Linked DNA regions of Elephas maximus indicus. The protein of the gene in region 2 binds, or shares a complex with, the protein of the main gene of each other region. Links are inferred from orthologs where the notes say so. Each region holds a gene or a part of one and is shown on either strand. Other genes may lie near its edges.

Region 1 (7,690 bases), on a different chromosome or scaffold from region 2:
TATTTCCAGGCCTTTGCACTTGCTGTCCCTCTGCCCTTAACACTCTTCTCATTTTCTTCCCTTCGTTCATTGTTCTCCTCCTTTGGGTCTCAGCCTGGATGATACTTCTTCCAAGAGGCCTCCTGCCCTTCTCTGGGCTCCTAGGAGGATTCTGTGATTATCACTATAATAGCACCTACCACACTATATTATAATTGCCTGTTAACCTGTCCCACTTCCCGCCAAGAAAGCTAGGCCTGTGTCTTTTCGTCACTGTACCCCCACTGTTTAACCATGGCTGCTGAACGGATGAATAAACAAATTAATGTAGTACAAGGTAGGAAAAGGCTGGGCAGGGCAAGGCTGGGCTCCAGGTGTTCATCAACTACCTGACCTTCTCTTGTACCCACCTGCCTCATGAGCTCAGGATTGTTGAGCATATGGCTGATCTCAGGGTTCCGCTCCATCAGCTGCTGCATCTGGGGGTTGGCCATGATCATGTGGCGCATCAGGTCAGGGTTAGACATCATGTCCTGGACCAGGGGGTTCTCCATGATCTGCGACAGCATCTCAGGGTTGGACATCAGCTGCCTCTGCATCTGCTGCTGCAGCTCCATGAAGTTGGCAGAGCCCAGGCCCAGGCTGCCCAGCCCCAGGATGCCCCCAAAGCCAGCTGTGGGGAGGGGACAGGGTCACATTCTACTCAAGTGGCCTTTCCCCTACCTGGCCAAAGGTACTGAATACAGATCTCCAGGGTGGGCCCAATCTTTTCTCTGCTTCTCACAGCTCCCTTTTCCACTTACTCCCACAGCCTAGCCCTGATCCACGCGAAGAGCCATTAGACTGAGACCTCTTGGACTGCAGAGGCTTAGGCTACCCCAGAGCTGAGCACAGCACCTAGCAAAGAGCGGGCAATCAGTGACAGTCTAAGTAAATAAATATTCCCTATCCTGGCTCCTGCTGGGCCTATCATTTCTCCAAACTCACAGGTTCTTTTAATATCCTCACCCAGGGTTCCCCACGTCCCCAGCCCCATTTCTCCCCTCACTCTTAATACTTCCCCTCCTCCAGGAAGCCCTCACAGAGTAGTCTCCTCCCTGGTTTGGCTCAAATACCAGTGTTTAGAGCCCTGTGTCCAGGGGTCACCTACCCTATCAGACCAGGATCAGGGACCATATTTCTCCCTCCTCTTGACTCTCCCCAACTCCCAAACCAAAACAGCACTGTGTTCTCCTTTCTAGGGGCTTACAGAGTATGGATGCAGTTGCACTGGGGGGTCCCTCCCCAGCCCCTGGGGAGGGCCCCCCCCCACTGCTCCTCCGGCTTCCACTGCCAGCATCTGAAGTGGTGCTGCCAGAGGTGGAGGGCTGGGCAGGGGTGGCGGGTGAAGCAGGCATGGTGGAGGGTGCAGAGGCAGGGTCAGGAGTGGAGGGGGAAGAAGCAGTGGTAGCAGCCGGATCTTGAACCCTGAGGACAGAGAAAGGAGAATCCTGGTTGGAGTATACACCCCAAGAACAAGGAAGGCACCACAAAGATCAGACTGCTCTTTCTTGGCTGGGCAGTTACTACCCTAACTATGACCCTCAGGCAGGAAGAGGGAGGGGAAGGGGAGGTCAGTAAACTAGGGAGTGAGGGCGGAGCTAGTATTATCTGTCTTCAGGGCATTCTGGGAGGGGTAAATCAGGATCCCTTCGGAGGTGAGATTATAGCCTGCCTGAAAATTCATCCAGGAGCCACCTTCCCAGGCCTTGGCATAGGCCCTCTAGGTTCGGATGAGCTGATGGGTGAGAAAGCCTCAGATGTGGAAGTGAGAGGCCCAATCAGAAGCTGGGCCTGCTTATCTCCTGAACTTACTTCTGAGGGGTCTTGATGACCAGATGGACAGTGAGCCCATCCTTGATCCCATGCTGGTTCAGTGTGTCCCCATCCTTGAGGATCTTGCCGGCAAAGATCAAGACGAGCTGGTCCTGCTGGGCCTTAAACCTCCGGGAGATTTCCTCTTTGAACTGGGATCAAGAGACAGAGGTCCTTGTGGAGGGTGCCTGGGCTCCACCCACTAGGGACCCTGCCTCTTCTTTAAGAGCTTTTGCATTCCCTTGCTCCCACCTCTAGTCATGGGAAGTCCTTTCTTCAGTCTCAAGCTGCAATAAACAGCTCCTTTCTTACCCAAGGAGATGGATTATTGAGAGGCTCCTCTCTCAGTTCCATCCCAGGGTCTTCTACCCTAGAAAGTCCTTGCTGCTATCTGCCATCCCACCTCCAGTCTGTCCACCCAGCTTCCTGTGAGGGTGCTGCCTGGGCAGCCCTCCTCATCCCAATTCCTTAAACAGCCTTGGACCCAGACTGTCTTCCTTCAGTTTTTTCTTCTCAGACCTCAAGTTTCCCTCCTCCGCTTAGTCTCAGTTTCTGCTCAGTTCAGCGTTCCTGAACTACAACAAATAGATCCCAGTCATTGAATATTTACTACTCACCACTTAACCGTCTAAGTCCCATAAGATACGTACTAATGACTAGCTCCATTTTAGAGACGAGAAATTTGAGGATCAGCGAGGTTAAGTAATTTATCCTGAGCAGAATGGGAATTGGGCTTTGACCAGGCTCTTAACCGTTCAGACACACTGCCTCTCAATTGGAGCTGATTTCAAATTCAGCTGTGCAGGGAAAAGGATTTAAATTCTGGAATGGAGTGGTTTTATAAGGTTGGGAGGCAGTGGTGGCACCAAGGGCTGCCTGAGGGAGACCTAGAATCCCCAAACTCTATCAGCCCCTCCCACTAAAAAAAAAACACTCAAGTAAAAACAGTGCACTTGCTAAGCAAAGACAGTTAAGACTCCTCTTCCAACCAGAAAGCCTATCTTAAGCCCCGCCTATGTGAAATTTTGGAGCAGCCACTGGGGGTGAAGAACACAAGCGATATTCTATATTTCAACAATTGTTTATTGAGCACCTACTGCACACTGCGTAAAAACCTGAGGAGCTGAGAATCAAAAGAAATCACCTCAATTTGAGAGTAGAAAGGATCTGGGCAGAGGAAAATCCTCTCCCCACCGCCGCAGGTTTTCACCCAAAACGCTGGGAGTCCTGGGAGGCATACAGAAGGCGCCTGGCGCTCTCGGCTTGCGCCCTGGCCCCTTCTGGCTCAGCACCTTGCCGGTGCCCCCCGCTCAGCCTTGGCGCCTCGAACCCCGACTGGTCACCCGAGCGCACACTCCCCTCAAACCCAGGGTCATTCCCTTTTCCCGGTGCAAGGTGCCCCCTCTTCACTCTCCACCACGCCCCCAGCCCTGGCCACAAGGCAAACCCCGGGCCCCCCCCACGCGCGCGCGCCATGCTCCCCCGGATCTACCCTTTGCAGGGCGCCCCCTACCCGCCTCTCCTTCCTTCCCGCTCCTTGGGGTCCCTGCTGACCCCCTGCTCTTCTCTCCAGGGCCCTCCTGGTGGTCCCGACAGTCTCTCAGAGACCCCCACATCTCCTCACAGACCCCCCTCCTCCGCGCTCGGTCCCCGCCAGCCGTACTACCTCCTTGACCGAGGCTCGATCGCAGATCACAATTTCCTCCTTGTCCTTGGGGGTCTTGACGGTGACCCGAATGGGGGGCCTCGTCTCGGCCCCGCTCGGCTCCGCCATGCCGCCGCCGCCGCCGCCACCACCCGGCCGCCCGCCAGCCCGCCCCGGCTCCTCCTCCTCCTCTTCCCCGCCCGGCCGGTCCGGCTCGGCTCGGGCGCCTCCAACACTCCCCTCCCCTCCCCAAGGCTTCACCGCCCCCTCCGGACCAGCCGCAGCCACAGCGCCCCGGGCGGACCGGGGGGACCACTGCAGCGGGCCCGCCCAGGGCCAAGCCCCGGGTTCGGGAGCCTGGACAGGGCCTTGCAGGGTAGTAGCCCCTGGATGGGGCTCTGGGCGGGAGCGGGGCGTGTCCTTCACTCGCGGGGCGGGGAGCAGAGGGCGGGTTCCGGGCGAGAGACCACCGCCCACCCAAGCTGGCCCGAGCCGCGCCGCGGTCCAGTCTGGCCCAAGGCTGACCCCGCCCCCTCCGCGGGTAACTCCCGCTCCGGGACAAAGGACTTTCTGTGTCGCCGCTTTATCACTGTGCCCTGTGATAACTTGGCTTTTCCTGAGAGGCCCAGATCCCTTCCAGGCCTTCTCTTGCTCGATTTGGAGGTTGAATTTTTTCCCACCTCTGGACGTCCGCCTAGGGTCTCATATCTAGGATTGACCCTGTTCTCCCGAGGGTCGTGACCCGAATGAAGGACTGTTAAATACGGTGTCAGGGATCTGGCCTTTGCCTAGGTGGCTTTTCTGAGCCTAGGTTTCCTCAAGCTAATAATGCCTATAGCCTCATCCCACAGAATCGTGCATAAGATAGAAAACTGCTTTGGAAAGTAACCAAAGGTGTGCTTGACAAATACAGGGATTCTATTGTTATTATTATTGAATCGTGGGTTGCTAAGCGGACATGACGCCTTCTCTCTCTTCGAAGGGGTTAAATGTCCTTCCAGTACTTCCAAGGGCCTTTTACTCCCGCTCTTTTCCCCCATAACCTCGTGGACTGACTGGAAAGGCAAACTATAGTTCCCAGGGTGCCTCGCGAGGCAACAAGGAACTACAATTCCCAGAGCCCTCCGCGGTGGGAAGGAGTTAAAGCAGACCCACAATAGCCAGGCCAAGAAACTACAACTCCCAGGATGTTTCGGGGCAGGGGAGCTGGGCTACGGGGAGCGGCAGGCGGAGCCCAGCGGGAGGAAATCCAGGGTATCTGAGTGGAAAAGCCTTGGGTTAGGTGCTGCAGGCATGCTGCGCCCCAAGGCTTTGACCCAGGTGCTAAGCCAAGCCAACACTGGAGGCGTCCAGAGCACCCTGTGAGTGCGGACTGAGGACTTGAGCGGCGCGGGGCTCTCAAAGGGAGGGGTGGGGAAGGATCGCCTGGAAGGAAAGAGGCAGCAGTGGGCAGCATCTGGGGAAACCCGCCGGGAGAGGCTTTTCTAGAAAAGGGAAGCTGGCGTGCTGGGTGTTGGTGCAGGTTCCGGGACATACTCAGCCCAGACCCTTGCTTCCTAGAAGCGCCAGTTGCAGGAGTTGGGGTGGGAACTCAGGCGTTTTTTTCCCCTGCTCTAAGCACGTTGATATCCCTCGCCAGGCTGCTGAATAATGAGGGGTCGCTGCTAGCCTACTCGGGTTACGGAGACACGGACGCCCGGGTCACCGCGGCCATCGCGAGTAACATCTGGGCCGCCTATGACCGGAATGGGAACCAAGCGTTTAATGAAGACAATCTCAAATTCATTCTCATGGACTGCATGGTATGGAAAGGGGAGCCTGGCTTCCTCTATCCCCCAAGGGGATCCCCAGGGGGCTACCCAGACCCCATCCTGGATGGTTGGAGGGCCAGGAACAGGATCTCCAAGTCTTAAGAGGTGATCTGCAGCAGTATTTATAAGAGGCAGGACCTTATTCATTAAGTGGTGGTAAGGAAGGGGTTCTGGGCCAGAGGACTCACTGGGGTTCTGGTCTCAGCCAGCCACTTAAAAGTTGTGAGACCTTGGGTAAGTCATTTGACCTCTCTGAGCTTCCTCATCTTTAAGGTGAAAACAATAACACACATACCCTTGCCCAACTTACTGGGTTCTTTTGAAGATCAAATTAAAGAATGGATATAAACTACAGAGGGATGTGCAGACTCAAGGTGTTGTCATCCCAAGTTCACTGACTCACAAAACCATAAAGTTGTCAGGGTCTCCAGACCCTAGTAGAACCCTTTTAGTTTACAGAGAAAGGAAATGAAGTCCAGAAAGGGGAAGTGGCTGTTAAGACTGTGAACTCCATAGGAGCAGGGACTGTCTTACCTTTGTATCTCCTTATTCAACAAATATTTACTAAGTCTCTGCAGTGTTTGGGGGAATAGCAGGGAAGTAGTGAACAGGACAGACAAAAACCCCAGCCCTCAGGAAGTCAGTAAGTACGTTAGGTGGTGAAAATGCTATGGAGCAAAATAGTGTCAGAGACAATCTCACTAAAAAGGTAATATTTGATTGAAGATCTGAAGGAAGCTGGGAAGCAAGCCATGTGGCTATCTTGGGGAAGAACATTTCTGACAGAACAGCAAATGCAAAGGCCCTCAGGCAGAATATGCCTGGTCAAGGAACAACAAGGCTAATGGGATGGAGTGGCATGAGCATAGGTGAGTAGTAGGAGATGAGCCCCGGAAAGGCACCTGACTCCCAGCCCAGAGTGGGTATCTACTGAAGGTTTGCTGAACCAAATTAAATAGGCCCCAAGAGCGAACTCTCTAGGAAGGGTCTCCACTGTAGCTTGGCTACCTGCTTCATTCCTACCCTCTGAATGTCATTTCAGTTTAACAGGTGACCCCTAGGGTACCTAGTCCACAGCTAGTGCTATACGGCAATGATTGTCAAAACTTTTTTTTTAAACCACAACCTGGTCATAAAAAATACATTTTATGTCACAGCCTAGTACACACACTCACTGAAACAAAAGTTTCGGGAGATGGTACTTCCCTTACCACATGCAATGCTCTTCATTTCTCTTCCCTCCATTTTTTTTTTTCCCCATAAATGCGGATCAACCTTTTAAATAGATCTCTTAACCCTGTAGTCAAACTTGCAGTTTGCAAAGCATCACTAAGGGAAAAGAAGAGAAATATAAGTTGGGTTACTGCTCCCAACTCCCTCACAGTGTCTTGGGTTGAGCCCATAATAATAACATCTCCCATCTGGACAGCCCTTTGCAGATACAAACTCCTTAGTGTATACTGGCACCCCCACCAACTGGAGTGAGGTAGGGATTATAGAAAGAGAAACCAAGTTTTTGGGAGATTAAGTGAGTTTCCCAGAGCAACTTGGTTAAAAGATGGCTGTGCTGAGGCTAGAACGCAGGCTCAGGACCCCATGTCCAGGGCTATAGTCAAAGCCCCCCAGTTGAACCTCCTGCTGTACCCAGGGCGTGCAAGGAAAATAAGTCCCTCTAGGGCCAGAGGAGCCCTTTGGGAAGGAGGAGGCTGAGAGTGCCAAGCAGAGCATCGCATCCCATTATATCCCCTCCCCCACCAGGAGGGCCGAGTGGCCATCACCCGAGTGGCCAACCTTCTGCTTTGTATGTATGCCAAGGAGACCGTGGGCTTCGGAATGCTCAAGGCCAAGGTGTGTATGCGCCCATCACCCATCCCTCCACAACCCCGGGCCAAGCCTTCATGCTTTATCATCATGTCCATTCCCACCCTCACTACCTTTCTGGGGCCTTCCCATGTCCACCCAGTCCATGCCTGGTGTGGTCTAGCTCCCAGGAGCAGACTGAGGCTGAGGCTGAGACTGGGTGTTCAGAGCATATGGCATTGGGGGGTATAGGTCTTGGATCCCATATTGCTCTAGTGGAAGGCCAGGGTGGGACTGATAACTGTTCCCCCTCTTGCAGGCTCAGGCCTTGGTGCAGTACCTGGAGGAGCCCCTCACCCAGGTAGCGGCATCATGACAGCTATAGACGGAACCTGGGATCAGAAAAGAGAGATGACCATTTGGAGGGGCAGGGCCCCTTGGGAAAACCTGCCTGGGCTGTGGTGGGAGGATGAGACTTTGTTTTTCCAAGAATAAACTTAAACTCCTATCCTGTGTTTGGCTACTTTCTTGGGTGGGAGGGATGGGAGGAGGTGGGAAGAGCAGGGATCGCTAGTAGGATTCCTCATGTTCTTCAAAGCAG
Region 2 (7,106 bases):
CCCAGCGAGGCTATGTGCTGGTGGCGCTCTACCTGAGTAGTATGGCTCAACCTGTTGAGAAGTGGTGTGGGTGGCACATGGGGCTAGGTGGATGGGAGAAAGGAATGGAAAGAGGGGAAGGAGACAGAAGACACCAACAATCAGAGAAACAAATATAATAAATAAATAAAAAGAACAACAACAAAAAATATGATGGTGGTGGTGGTGGCAGTTGGAGATGGAGCAGAATTGGGTGGCAGCAAACTGATGTCTCTTTCACCAGGTAGCACAGCACAGCCCATCAGGAAGGGGTGCAGGGCCAAGGTGAGAGGGAATGGATGCAGAATTTGGAACAAACTCTTTCATATTCATATTGCTATTAGTAATTTCAGCACTGCCGGTACTACTACAATGATTTGCACCCATTAAGCTTGAGTATTCAACAGAAGAAGTCTCTACTAATTCATTACATTTTTAAAAGGAAGTTAATTTTGGACTTGTTTTTAGGGATTCACAAATCCTTTTCTTTCTATCATCTGTGAGCTTTCATTTTTGCACTCCACTTAGTTGTTGCCATTTCATTTTACCTGGATATAAAATTATGTCACTTTTGAAATTTGGTTCTAACACAGCAAATAAATATGAATAACTGACAATAAATAAAACTTATAAAACAAGTGAAATTTATATTTATTTATAAAATAAATTTTACATACGAATTTGGACATTAACACAAAAATTTATATTTGAAAATAGGTAAAACAATTGATTTGGAACATGTAATTTTGTTCTTCAGGTCTGAGTCAAAAGAAATAGTACTTACAAGGCAATAGGAAGTAATTTCATTCGTTTGTCATACAATGTTTGTTGGCAGGCCCTCTCCAGATCTCCACAAGTGTTTTTCCCCTTGAAATAACACTTAAAAACGTGCATGCTTACTTTTTCTACTTTGATGCTGCGTCTTCATGTTCATTGGACTACTACTGATACCCAACCAGGGCGAGAGCAATCGCAAAGAGCATGATACAACTACAAGGGTATGCTCAATCTGAAGAAGTGTTTTGGTTAACTTTGTGGGACTGGATACGTCATGAGTCACGTGATTATTGTGCGACTGACACGTTCTTATGTGGTCCACGAGAATTGAATATGGGGTTATACCCAATTGATGCGAAATGAAAAGAAAATATGATTGTTATTGTACACAAAATTTATAAAATGGTATCAATTTCATTTAGTGCACTGCCAGTTCCCTTCCACTGCAGCACTTGCTTTTCCTTGTGCCCTGTCTGCTTAGCATTACAGATCTTTGCTTTGGACAACTGGTACCCCTGTTTTGTTGATGCCCTAAGCACGTGCTTACCTTGCTTATTAGGTAATCCAACCCTGGTGCCACCCAGTGATTTTTAAGGCCAGGAAGGTCTTGTAAATTAAGTGTCTCCACGGAATTTTCTCTCTCTACATCCCCTTCCAGTTTAAATTTTATAATTTAAATTTAGATCTTCTCTCATTTTTGTAAAGGCATCCACCTTCTCTAATTAGCTGTTTCTCCTCAAGCAACAGTACTTATTTTTTTTATTGAGATATAATTTGCCATTTCAAAGTGTACAATTCAGTGGATTTTAGTATGTTCACTAGGCTATGCAACCATTACCAGTCTATAATCCCAGAACATTTTTATCACCTCCCAAAAAAGCCCTGTACCCATTAACAGTCACTCCCCATTCTCTGTCCCATCAATCCCTACCCATTGTTATCTAGTCAATTTTGACTCATAGCCACACTACAGGACAGAATAGAACTACCCCATAAGATTTCCAAGGCTATAAATCTTTGTGGAAGCAGACAGCCACTTCTTTTTCCCAAAGAGCAGTCACCAGCCCCTGGAAACCACTAATCTGCTTTCTGTCTCTATGTATTTGCTTATTCTGGGTATTTCGTATAAATGGAATCACATGGCTTCCTTTGTCTGGTTTCTTTCATTTAGCATGTTTTCAAGGTTCGACCACATTGTAGCATATATCAGTACTTCACTTCTTTTGTTGTTGTTATTGTTAGGTGCTGTCCAGTCAATTCCAACTCATAGCCACCCCATGTGACGAGTAGAACTGCCCCATAGGGTGTTCTTGGCTGTCATCTTTACTGAAGCAGATTGCCAGGTCTTTCTCCTTCAGAGCTGCTGAGTGGGTTTGAACTTCCAACCTTTATGGTTAGCAGTCGAGTGCTTAACCATTTGTACCGCCAGGGCTCCTTCCATTCTTTTCTCTCTCTCTTTTTTTTTAATTATCGTATTTAAATGAAGGTTTACAGAACAAACTTGCTTCTCATTAAGCAACTAGTACATATATTGTTTTGTGATGTTGGTTACCAACCCCACGACATGTCAACACTCTCCCTTCTTGACCTTGGGTTCCTTATTACCAGCTTTCGTGTCTCCTGCCTTCTAGTCCTTGCCTCTGGGTTGATGTGACCCTTTAGTCTTGTTTTGTTTTATGGGCCTGTCTAATCTTTGGCTGAAGGGTGAACCTCAGGATCCTTTCATTCTTTTTTATGGCTAAACAATATTCAATTGTATGCATATACCACATTTTATTTATTCTTTCATAAGTAAATGGCTATTTGGATTGCTTCTACTTTTTGGCTAGTATGAATAATGCTGCTATGAACACTCATGTGTAAGTTTTTGCGTGAACATGTTTTCAAATTCTCCTGAGATATACCTAAGAACAGAATTGCTGGGTCCTATGAGGAGCCCTAAGGAGTCCTCGTGGTGTAGTGGTTAAAGTGCTTTGCTGCTAACCAAAAGGTCAGTGATTCAAACCCACCAGCAGCTCTGAGGGAGAAAGATGTGGCAGTCTGCTTTCCTAAAGATTTACAGCCTTGGGAACCCTATGGGGCAGCTCTACTCTGTCCTATAGGTTCGCGTTGAGTCATAAACAACTGGAAGGCAGTAAGTTTGGTGTGGTTTGATGAGGAGCCCTCGTGGCACAATGGTTAAACATTTGGCTGATAAAACCAAAGGGTAAGTGGCTTGAGCCCGCCAACAAGTTCACGGGAGAAAATAACTGTCGATCTGCTCCCATAAAGATTATAGGCTAGGAAATCCTATGGGGGCAGTTCGACTCTGTCATATAGGGTCACTGTGAGTAGAATTCGACTCAGTGGGATGTAACAATATTATAATTATATTTTTAACATTTTGAGGAGTTGACAGACTGTTTTCCACAGTGGCTGCACCATTTTACATTCCCACCAGCAGTGTATGAAGGTTCCGATTTCTTTACAAGTACTTATTATCTCTGGAATTATCTTTATTTTACCTCACCAACACTGCCTTAGTCCCTTTAGTATTGCAGCAGCTCTGGAAAGTGTCTATTCCTATGTTTACACATATCTTGTGATAAAACCAAAACACCCGTTGCTGTTTAGTCCATTCCAACACATAGCGACCCTATAGCATAGAGTAGAACTGCCTCATAGGGTCTCCAAGGCTGTAAATCTTTGGAAGCAGACTGCCACATCTTTCTGCTGCAGAATGGCAGGTGGGTTTGAACAGCAAACTTTTGATTAGCAGCCAAGTATTTAACCAGTGCACCACCAGGGCTCCTAGCATTTTGTGATATATGAAGATACCTCGCTCCAAGGTCCTGTTACTAATTTTTCTGGGCAGAGAATATGCAGTATTTTCTGTTGGCTGTATGGGGCGGGGGGGCACCACTTTGAGCATCCCAGTTGCCTAGAGTAGGCATAAGAATACCATTTTGAATAGGTTTCAGAAGCATGATTTTATTTTATTATCTCCTTTTAGGGTGAAGAAATCTGAAACCCAATAAATGTTTTCGCTTCGGGTCGCACTCTAGGAAGCCAAACCCAGATTTTACCCCGTGAGCCCTCCTTCGCGCAATCTCAGCCCTACCCGCTCCAGGGCCTTCCCCGCTCCTCTAACCCCTACACACACTTCCCCCTCCTCCTGGCGTTCAAGCTCTGAGGGGCGGGATACGGGTGTTAAAGAGGGTACGTGACCAATCCGCGCGCGTCTTCGCAAAACGGCGCTTCTCACTGGTAGATTCGGTCTGATGATGTAGCCCATGCTCCAGTCATGCTGGGGGCGGGGCCGAAGTGCGGCGGCGCCGCGCAGGAAGCACGTGATCTGGGACTCGGTTAGGAAGCTGCCCCTCTGGTAGGGAGTGCCCCCAGCACCTAAAGCTTGCGATGGTGAGTGAGGACGCATGCGCGGGAGTACGCGCTGGGGGTTCCGCGTTCCAGTCCCCCAACCTTCTTGGTTGCCCCTTCCTGGGCCTGCACCCCACCTTCACCGCAAGCCACCCCGGGACTGGAAGAGTGGAGACGGGAGGGACTAAGGACAGAGAGTGCTGGAGGGGCGGGGCACGAGGGGAGTTGGAGGGTCTGATGTGAGGGACCAGTGGGGCTGTGAAGACATACTGGGGTATCACATCAAAGGTAGGATGTGAGAGGCCGAGGGAGCCCACGGGCAGAGGGAGATAGAGAGGACAGACGGAGGCACAGAAGGCAAGGGAAAGCTCAGTGTTTGAGGCCAGGTAGAGGGAAGGGTCCTGGCTGGGGAAGAGAAGGCCTGGGGGACTGTCATCAAGAGAGGGCCTTGGGTTTGCAGGTCACGGGTGTCGAGGGCCACCTTCCTGGCGTGCTTCTCACTGATTGCTCCTTTAACCACTAGACTTCTGCACTGACCCAGGGGCTGGAGCGAATCCCAGACCAGCTTGGCTACTTGGTGCTGAGTGAAGGCGCAGTGTTGGCGGTGCGTTCTGGGGAAGGGAGGGGATCCCCTAAGAACACATCGTCCATCATCTCTTACAGTATTGCCCATTTTACCCGAATTTGTCTCTATTCTTTGTTATCACCTAGTAGCACGCCTAGTGTATAGTAAGTTTCAGTAATCCGTCTCCAACTTTCCTGAGATAAAAGAGGCTTACTAACTCTATTAAGGGTCACAAGTTTGTTGGTAACTGATATTACCTGAGTTATTCTCAAGTATGTATTTGGTATTTATTGACTAGGCTTTGTATTTTGTTCCATAGTACAATATAGTGTTAGCTTTCTAGAAGTTTTCAATTTAGCTAAAGAAACAATGCTTAAAAGGTTAAAAGTTGAAAGCAGGGTGAGTGGTAAAGACTACTGATGAAATCAACCCTTCATGTTATATTATGTAATAACTTGTGTTATGGTAAGGAAACTGTCTTGGAGGTAGAAATCCAGGATGGGTAGTTGTGAAGAGGAAGAGAGTTCTTTGGGGCTGGGAAGTGGACATATTTGCAGGTGTGTGACACCAACCTGTCTGATTTGGTGGGTGTCACATGGAGAAGATTTGGAAAGGTTTGGGGGAAGAAAAGGATATTGTAAAGAAAGGACCAGATTGTGGAGGACTTTCAAAGCCAGATTTGTACATTTGGACTTAATCTTGAAGGTAGTAAGGAGCTATTGAAGGCTTTTGAACGGGAACACTACCTGATGAAATGCTTTAGCGAGATTTTTCTGTTAGCAGTGTGAAGATGGAGTAGGGGGTGATGAATTTTCAAGACTGGGCAGTAAACTAGGTATGAGACTGGGCTGGTGGCAATGAGGAGCGAGAAAATAAATTTAGAGGAGGAATGACTAGATATAGGTAATGGAGGAGATACTTCTCCATCTAGTAAGGCTTTGAACTCATAAACCTGGAAGAATGATGGTGCCTCAACAAACAGGAAATGAAGAAAGGAAGTTGATTGGGGAGGGTGGGAAGTACAGGGAATTCCATGTTTTGACTTTAAACATTGAGTTTGGTGTGGAATAACAGCAGTTAATGTAAATGGTAGGAGCTGTTCTAAGCATCTTGCCAATATTATTTAATCTTCATAATAAGTTTATAAGGTACTGTATTGTTCCCAGTTTGCAGATGAGAGAACTGGAGTATAGAATGTCCAAGGGAGCGAAGTGCAGTAAACTTAACTTAGTGGGAGGCCCATATCAAGGAGGTGGGAGAGGAAGTTGAGATAGTCACCAGAAAAAGAGGAAGCCCAGGCCACTGTCACAGCACTGACCCAAGGTCTGGGTAGTAGGGAGAGATGTCAGGACAAAGGGGATGGTTGTGCTCCAGATTCTGCAAACAGGGCAGTAAATGGGAAGACAGAAAAGACGGATCTTCTAACAATTCAGTGGTCATTTTCAGGGCTGAGTATTGGTTTTCGAGAATGTAGTTTTATCAAATACTTGGGGACAGGGAACAAAGTCAATTTCCAAGGGGCTAGGAAAGAATGGTCAGTAAAGAAATGGATGAAGAATCATCAGGGGAAGCCCAGTATTATAAGAATGAGAAATAGGATGACACAAAGAGGAAGCTATAACACCAAGGAAGGTTTTAGTTGTTTTTCCAGAACTGGGGTAACCTAGGAATCTTGCAAAGTGAAGAGGGAGAGGTTCCACACACTAGAGACAAAGTGACTGCCTGGAATTCCTTCCCAATTCTCTTCCCTCATTTCTGCCCTCCTCCCTCCCACCTGCGTGCAGTCGTCTGGGGATCTAGAGAATGACGAGCAGGCAGCCAGCGCCATTTCTGAGCTGGTCAGCACCGCTTGTGGTTTCCGGCTGCACCCGGGCATGAACATACCCTTCAAACGCCTGTCAGGTGAGCCCCCATCTCTGCCCTGGTGGTGTGGGGGGAAGGGGGCTTCTCCCAAAGGCTGCTGCTTCTCAGGGAAAAAAGACTATCTCCTACCAACTCTTCTGTCATCGCCTCCTGGGGTCGCTGGTTCTGGCCACTTTCTTCCCTTTGAGGTCCCCTCCCCTGGACCAGAGTTGATATGAGCAAGAAGGGGACTTATTGGAGGCCTCTCATCTTTTGAGCCTTGAACTATAGAATTTCTTTGGCTTTTGGTATCAGCCAACTTCTGTGATCCCATGGAGGCCATCGCACCACACTAACCCTGTGCTCCCTTCCCTCTCCTGGGGCGTCTCTCCTCCAGTGGTCTTTGGAGAACACACGCTGCTGGTGACCGTGTCAGGACAGAGGGTGTTTGTGGTGAAGAGGCAGAACCGAGGCCGGGAGCCCATTGACATCTGACCCTGCGAGAGGGGAGGGTCGGAGAATGTGGATTGGGTCCATGAGCCGCTTG

The links. Proteins that work in one complex are often made in the same cells at the same time.
Region 1: LAMTOR4 (region 2) and LAMTOR2 share a complex: the UniProt entries of both Homo sapiens proteins name them as parts of the ragulator complex. The link is inferred for Elephas maximus indicus from reciprocal best matches to the Homo sapiens genes LAMTOR4 and LAMTOR2.

What each region holds. Positions count from the first base shown.
Region 1 is NC_064821.1:193,862,158-193,869,847, forward strand, and holds LAMTOR2 (ragulator complex protein LAMTOR2), read left to right. Parts: upstream 1-4,682; 5' UTR 4,683-4,771; coding exon 4,772-4,839; intron 4,840-5,117; coding exon 5,118-5,280; intron 5,281-7,047; coding exon 7,048-7,137; intron 7,138-7,408; coding exon 7,409-7,465; 3' UTR 7,466-7,591; downstream 7,592-7,690. Other genes in the region: UBQLN4 (ubiquilin-4), read right to left, coding at 390-652, 1,229-1,446, 1,834-1,985, 3,500-3,607. UniProt on the Homo sapiens protein: As part of the Ragulator complex it is involved in amino acid sensing and activation of mTORC1, a signaling complex promoting cell growth in response to growth factors, energy levels, and amino acids.
Region 2 is NC_064830.1:91,691,962-91,699,067, forward strand, and holds the start of LAMTOR4 (ragulator complex protein LAMTOR4), read left to right. Parts: upstream 1-4,094; 5' UTR 4,095-4,191; coding exon 4,192-4,194; intron 4,195-4,675; coding exon 4,676-4,756; intron 4,757-6,501; coding exon 6,502-6,619; intron 6,620-6,956; coding exon 6,957-7,054; 3' UTR 7,055-7,106. UniProt on the Homo sapiens protein: As part of the Ragulator complex it is involved in amino acid sensing and activation of mTORC1, a signaling complex promoting cell growth in response to growth factors, energy levels, and amino acids.